Linked DNA regions of Neodiprion lecontei. Each later gene encodes a partner of the first gene's protein in a complex. Links are inferred from orthologs where the notes say so. Each region holds a gene or a part of one and is shown on either strand. Other genes may lie near its edges.

The links.
Region 2: the proteins of symplekin (region 1) and RNA polymerase II subunit A C-terminal domain phosphatase SSU72 are in contact, whole or in part, in a crystal structure (PDB 4YGX), measured with the Drosophila melanogaster proteins. The link is inferred for Neodiprion lecontei from reciprocal best matches to the Drosophila melanogaster genes Sym and Ssu72. Residues at the interface, in NP_649580.1 of Drosophila melanogaster: Glu91, Ala117, Lys121, Gln125, Gly128, Ser129, Glu169, Asn170, Asp171, Gly172, Thr175, Asn176, Lys179, Phe180, Arg198, Ser240, Ser241, Val242, Ile245, Ala246, Ser249, Thr281, Ser283, Gln284, Ser286, Ser287, Lys290, Met294, Gln295; in NP_001285455.1 of Drosophila melanogaster: Glu114, Tyr117, Asp118, Val121, Met122, Glu125, Glu128, Ser129, Val130, Asp131, Asn132, Arg133, Pro134, Asp168, Asp170, Asn171, Asp174, Gln178, Glu181, Val187, Ile188, Leu189, His190, Ser191, Val192, Phe194.

The regions. Positions count from the first base shown.
Region 1 is NC_060261.1:29,147,743-29,151,676, forward strand, and holds the start of symplekin, read left to right. Parts: upstream 1-1,346; 5' UTR 1,347-1,722; coding exon 1,723-1,779; intron 1,780-2,158; coding exon 2,159-2,355; intron 2,356-2,665; coding exon 2,666-2,899; intron 2,900-3,065; coding exon 3,066-3,352; intron 3,353-3,551; coding exon 3,552-3,781; intron 3,782-3,864; coding exon 3,865-3,934. UniProt on the Drosophila melanogaster protein: Component of a protein complex required for cotranscriptional processing of 3'-ends of polyadenylated and histone pre-mRNA. Involved in germline stem cell transit amplification, differentiation and mitosis-to-meiosis transition.
Region 2 is NC_060263.1:35,824,950-35,828,524, forward strand, and holds RNA polymerase II subunit A C-terminal domain phosphatase SSU72, read right to left. Parts: upstream 2,397-3,575; 5' UTR 2,070-2,396; coding exon 1,987-2,069; intron 1,827-1,986; coding exon 1,683-1,826; intron 1,545-1,682; coding exon 1,286-1,544; intron 1,078-1,285; coding exon 976-1,077; 3' UTR 512-975; downstream 1-511.

The DNA.
Region 1 (3,934 bases):
TCAAAGGTCAAATACTAATAAATTGTAGCTTTTCAAATGACAATTTTATTCTAACGTAAATTTAACTCATTGTCAATAAAACTCATGCTTCGATAGTGTGTAACTCATGTGGAATCGTAATACTTTAGGATTTCTCTAGTTTACTCAGAGTAAATTCCATGTGAATACATTTTACTTTTTGATGAATTTAATTTCTTAATACAAGTCAACAAGGTGCACATACCTTTGACAATTAAGAGTTTGGAAATTTCAACATCTTTCTCCCTTGCTTGACCTTTCGCAGTCGACACTACGGAAAAGTGTCGAAATTCCGGATGAAATAGTATCGACTTTTTCGGAAATAAATATTCTCAAACTCGAAAATCCTAATAATCAACACGGGCACTGCCATAAATATATAATAAAGTGGACAGATATACGTAATTATAATCTGGGCCACTTGATAATAAATTTCTGAACAATCTAGTTTGTGGGTCAGCGGACGGAATGACAATACAACCAGCTAATATGAGTAGAAGTTGAAGAAAGGAACCTTGATCATCTTTATATATTTTATTTAATACTTTTGTGATAATGATTTTCTGACTTTCATCGGGGTTGTTAAAGCATGGACTCATACATTAGTAACAATCTAGTCTTACTTAAATTCTGAAAAATATTTTCAAGTAGTACTTTTGCATAGAAAGGTCTAGGATTTCCGCTGCAAATAAACTGTATTTTTTAAAAACCACGAAATGTAACGTCAGTTAAGGAATTATTTTTACATGTCAGCTGCATCATTCTTTCGGAATGAAGATATGAGCGGTGCCTGAAGATAGATATTATTATCCTCAGTTAACGCTACAAGTCTAGTATTAAACATATGTACACAAATTACATAAGGTAGATGTAGGAACAACTGTATATCTTGATCCGTTGATTCACTTCTTCGGGTCTTCGACTATGTCTCCCATCCTTTGCATCAAGAAAAGGTTTCTAACTCTGTTAACAGTAAACCGGGTGCATGTTTATTGTGCGTCTATTTAGATAACATTATTTTTATCGAACCGATGGAGTTAGATTGACATTGCTGAATTGGGTCCAAATGAATTTGCGTAGTTGAAAAGTAAACGACGTCCATATGAGGTTTTATGAAAATTACAGTCTGTTCCCGTTCGTCGTTTCAAAGGCATAATAATATTCGACTCTGCATTATCTGGGCACACGCGGTGCACGATGGTAACATCAGTTCCTGTCGTCCTTATGTACCGACCGCTTGCCGGATTGAGTTGCGATTCCAAGGTAGGACTTGTATATCTTCAATCACGTTTCATTGTTCATGGCGTGAAAAGATTGCCAATATTGTAATTGGCCAATATGGCGTAGACGGACTGTTAGACGGAACTCAATAGCACCATAAATTGCTAAATAGCATATTAAAAAATCGCGTTACATTATATTTGCATTAAGATCACTTTGCAGACAAAATTACCGAATCAAATGGGAATATTTATTCTTACTCATTAACGTACAAAATCATATTTATTCTAGGATTCAAAAATCATGTACCCAACTATTACAAGTTTTTGACGTATCGGAGACTCAGCGAATTGTACATAAACGAAACATAATCAAACATATGTAGGATACACCCGCATATATTACATTTTATTATCGTCGCCAATTTTTCGCATTCAATCAGCAAGTCATCGCGTCCCATAAACTTGTCAATTCGCAAATACAATGGACCCACGCTTACACAGAAGACAAGAGTCTGAAAAAAAGGGCTCGAGCGACTTGGTCAGTGACATAACCTAAATTTTGACACGATACAAGTAAACAAACAAAAAAAAAGAACCTAGAAAAGAACACAAATATTTTAGTACTTCGAAGTATTATCACTCGCTTATTTATCAGTTCCACTAATAATGCATTTAGTTACTTACATCTGATTCTTCCATTACCTCTAAACGCGACGCTACTCTTGCAACGCGTTTCGAGGTAATCGCGGAATCGGATATAAATACCGAGCGCAGCTTAAATAGTCTATACATGAATGATTCTAAAATTTATTCAAAAGGTTCCTGTAATGACAATGCGAAAAAAGCATGTAAAAGAAAGTCGAAAAAAAAAAAAAATGGAATACATGTACTAATTTGTAATTACTACAATCTTGCAGGTCGTAGAATGGCTTAATGATGCTTCTATGAGCACAAGCGAATCCGTAAAATTAACCAATTTGGCCAAAGTTAATGAGTTTTTGATACACAAGGAACCAAAGTTGCTGGATCTATACTTGGACGAAACGTTGCAATTCTCTTTAGATAGGAGTAGCGAAGTTCGAAAACTTATCGCAGGATTTTTGGAAGAAGCTGGGTATTTGCAACTCACCTTTTATTATCATTCATAAGTCAGGATTTTAGTCTATTCGAGTTTTTAAACTCTATTGGAATACTCAGTGATTGTCTCAATGAAAAGAATGAGTACTAATACCAGACTTTATAATAGATTGTTCATTACAATTATCCTTTGCTTATTAATTATGCATTGATTGTTATCTTTACATGAGGAAGCCTAGAATTTACAATTAAAGCTTCAATTTCTGCTGCTGTTACCTTAAACTGGCTGAAACATATAAGAATTAAATTTACAAAAATATTTTTTAACCGTGCTTTGACCATCGTAGGTGTAAACAACCTGACCTGATTCCTCGATTAGTCCAAACACTTGCAAGATTAGTTGGAGATGATGCATCAGCTGTGATCAAACGGGCGCTTAGAGCAGCGGGAAGAATTCTTAGGGCAACATTGAAATGGATATCAAGTGTTGCGATTATTACAACAGACATGGAACTCGCTTGGACACAGCTGAGCAATCTGAAGGTTGCGATAATAAATATGATCGACAGTGACAATGATGGGTAAACAGAAACAAAAATTTTTCTTATTTTATTTTCCATATCTTATGTTCATTAGATGCTGCCAAAGAATATATGCTGATAAAAATTGTAAAACATGAGGCTGCACATGTCTTTTAGGTATTCTGTTTTTTCTTTCATCATTTTACCCTGACTATTTTGGTTACAGAATCAGGACGCAGGCAGTAAAGTTCCTGGAAGGAGTCGTTTTGCTGCAAACATATCCAGATCCTGACGCTCCAAAAAAGCCGGATGACTTCTCCTTAGAAGATATTCCATTAACACTAAAAATAGCTCGGAGAAGAAAACTTGAGGAGGAGGCAAACCATGTTATGGATTTGTTGATTAAATTTCATGGTTCTCCACACGTTAGTAGCGTCAATTTGATGACTTGTATGGGGTCCTTGGCATTGATTGCTAAAACTAGGCCTCAGTTTATGCGTCAAGTAATTCAGGGTAGGTATTTTTTCAGTATGTAGTTTCCTGCTCTCAGTTTGGCTGCAGTATTGTAGTGATAGCAGAGCTTGAAAATTCGAGAATTTTTAGCAAAGTTATTCACACCTTAGGCATTTCTATATTGAAACTTTGAAACAACTCTGATGCTCAAAAATGGTTAAGAACAATACTTAATAGATGAATAATTTTTGGTACCCAGCCTTACAACTCCTACAACATGATCTACCACCAACGCTGTCCGATTCACAAGTAACGAGTGTCCAGAAGCAACTTAAGCTCACGCTATTGGGATTGCTAAAACACCCTGCAAGCATAGAGTTCGCAGGAACGATGGCAAGACAATTGAACCAGCTCGGGGCAAGAGAGCAAGAAATCATGAAGGCCTATCCAAAAGTCGAGGATATTCGTAAGATGAAAAAACGGCAACAGGTAATTGCAATTGGAACTGAGCCTCATCTTACTTAAAAATATTCTGTTTACAAAGAATCAAATGATATTTCTCAAATCTGCAGGAAACAGCGGCAGCATCTGCAGCCAAACGTGCGAAATTGGAGGCTGCAATTGCAGTTGAAGAGCCTGAGC
Region 2 (3,575 bases), on another chromosome or scaffold:
ACTGGAATTTTAAATTTCTTGAAGAAATAAACTCGTTCTTATACGTACATTACTTGATATCAAACCTCCTTTCGTTTTTTTTATTACTGAAAATTGCTGGCTGTTATTTGTAAATTAGTAGTCGGACAGTAAGTTAATTACTAGGTAATATTTAAGGTATTAGTATTAATTTGCAAAAAAATTGTCATTAATCAGCGGCATATTTCTTGGAAGGTTATTGAAAAAAAATTCTATTTTCAGGCTGGAACACCTGGAAAAGTCAGGGAATTTCGGGTTCCAAAAAGCGTCGAACCCTGGTGAATAGAGTAGACGAATTCTGACACGTTACAATATGAAGATCATACTTGAGATCTAATTTCAATCTATGAATCTTAGCGTAATCCCAATAGCAGCTTGATAAAAATAAAAAATGTATATAGTACTTCGTCAAGGTATAAATACAATTCACTAGTACACCCTGCCTCTATTTTAAAATGTTGTTTATTAAATCTTGTTAATTATAATAAATGAATAATTTGAAAGCGTGTAATGAATTTTTTATTCACAAATATATTTATTTTGACACGTTCGATAACACTTGGATAAACAATTAAACGCTCTTTGCAGAGCATTGTATCATACATGTTGTTATAAGTCTAATTTTTACTTCCCATCACTTGATACCTATTGATATAAATCAACAGGCAATTGAAATATACAGATGTTAATAGGAACTTGATAAATTATACAATGTTTTCATAATATATTTCTAATAACTCCGTATTTAACGAATAAATACAATTTTTATGTTTTTTTGAATTATAAATGGTGATAATTTCATCGATTGACCAATCTCCTTATTAAAGCGATACGTAAGCCCTGTAGCAAAGTCACTAGTTCTATAATTAAATATTCCTAACTTACATTAATTTATAATCTAATTTCAAGATTGATAGACTCTAAGACGAGTTGTCAAAATTGTTAAATTTTGAGAAATCAGTAGAACAGCACAGTGTGTAATATGGGCCGTGCACATTTTGCTTCGAAATCATGAAGCAGTTCATCTATGTCGTTGTCCAGGTCGTCGCTGTTGGATAACTGTAACATTGAATTGTTATTCTCTTACAGAAAAAATCAGCACTGTTGCAACTTGAATAATAACAAGTAACAAAGACTAAAAAGTTCAGAGATCTATTTCAACAATTATTGCGTTGAATTCAATATGTTTCACAAATACATTGAACAAATATTTATCTCAACAAAACAAGCCCTGATTCTAGGAAGAATATTGAAAAAGTAAAATTACCACTGTGACTAGTTCGCAAATGAGGAACGAGCCGACCGTGGCCTCCTCATGATTATCCTGAATATCAATGTTGATAAGATGGACGGGCTGATTATCTTCATGGCTTCTCGCTTCCATGCATTCGATGACTTGATCATAAACACGCTCTTCGCATGTAACTAGAATATCAAATTTGTCCTTGGAAAGTTGAAACCGTTCAGGTCTCGGTTTTATCCGACGATTTCTATCCAGCATGTGAAGTAACCCATTTTGCGTATAACTGAAATTGTGATTAAGAAAAATTATTGATTTATTAAGTTATGTATTGCACGTGAAACTTTTCATTGCGGAAAAGGTACTGAAATTAATTACAGGCTTAAATATTAGCCACAATAAATAGTTCAAATTAAAAACATACTATTGTTTATCTTTGGTCAGCAAGTCGTTGTAAATTTCTTCGTACGATGTGCCAAAATCATAAATGTTTGGACGATCAGGAGCATTTCCTGGCAACTTTACCTTATCCCCAGTGCCAAAAGACTTTACATTAAATCCCTTTTTGCTGAAACATGATAAAATATTTTTCTTTATAACTGCACCAGATACAAGTGTTTACGATATGAGTCAAGGTTGAAATCTTGATGTGAGAATTAGCAAATTATATAGAGCTGTAGGGTTGCTCCAACTTCAACATTGAGTCATTTATATAGAAATCAGTTTACCTCAAAAATGCATGAGCTTCCATACTTCTGTTCATATTACTCGAACATATGACTGCGATGCTTATCGTATTTTGTGCCGGCATTGCTTTTGCGGGAATACGCAAAGCGTGATTAGAGTTGTGGAGGAATGCGAGGTTAACCGACTTAACCTCAAAATCAATGACTTGAACGATTCTCACGTACGATTATTCAAACTAAAGAAATTTCTATTTTGAAATTTGCGAGTTTGAATAAGCTTTCTACTGAGGTTTCAACATCCGTAGAAAAATTTCTTCAACCACCAAATATCAGTAAAGAATCAACCACGACACCCTTCAACCTTCGTGTCTCCTACGTGACTGCCCTGGACTGCCCTACTGACTGCGAACGTCACTGTAGAAAACCGACGTACAAGCGCAGACCTTAGACCCCTTAGACCATACGGAAAGGATTGGGCATGGGAGCGGTGGGGGTGCTGCCGAGTGAGGAGACAAGGATAGCCATAGCGATATACCGGGACAATCTGTCGAAACTTGGAAATCAACTGCGCATGCGCGAGTTTTATTTAAACTGTTTCTGGCGGCGACGTAGTTGATACGAATTTTCGAGGTTAGAATCTCAAATAATTGAGATAGTGACTCGGAAAGGTTTCGGAAGCATTTGTTGTTGGGTCAGAAACATAGACTTATACCACTTATACATAATAGACTGAGCATGCCGGATATTTCCCTCGTCCTCTGAACGCCTATCGGTGTTGGTGCTGTCTCTTTCTCTCTTATGGGGTTTTCCGCCCTACTCATCTCTCAAATACCGCCCATGGTGGGGGAACCAAGCGCTAGAGGGGAAGAGAAAAGCAAGTGAGGGGCAGTTGCAGGTTGTGCCATCCCACATATCCCCACCCCAAGATCGCTAGAAAGAGATAGCAGTATCAGCTGCGGGTGTAAGACAAGAATAGCACCGAAAACGGGGGAATCGAGGTTCAGGAGACAGTCGCTCCGAACTAATGCTCAGTTTATTTTATATATGGGCTATTCCGCGTCAACCGGATCAGTCATCTCTCAGATATTTTTTTAATTTCGCATGTGGATTGTGTAGGGGGAGTCAGATTTTTGTGCGAAAGCGCGAATCTCATAATGCAAAATTCGATTTTTTATTAACAATAACAAATTAGACTCCCATTTTTTTCAAAAATTCATAACTTCGGCAAAAAATTAGATACGATATATTTTTTTTTTAAATTACGCGGAAAGCTCCATAGAATTTAAAAAAAAATACGAAATGGTAAAAACAAGTTGTTATCAATTGTTTATTTAACAATTAATTTTTCAAAGATTTTTAAAACAGTGACTGACACGATCAAAAAATTTTTTTAAAATTCTGACATGTTCCTTGAACTGTACTACAACCTGTGAATTAATTCCAGAGGGGTATTTTTCTTCATTTTTGAGTAAAAAATCATTAAAGGTGTCGATGCGCATGAAATTGCGGCCCGCCGAGTCTCTACGTAATGGCGGGCGGCCGGTTGCCGTCCACCGCTACACCGCGGTGGCGTCGCAGCGTTATTTTAGAGTCATTTTCACGATGTAGGACATGATTGAAGAATCTGAAAA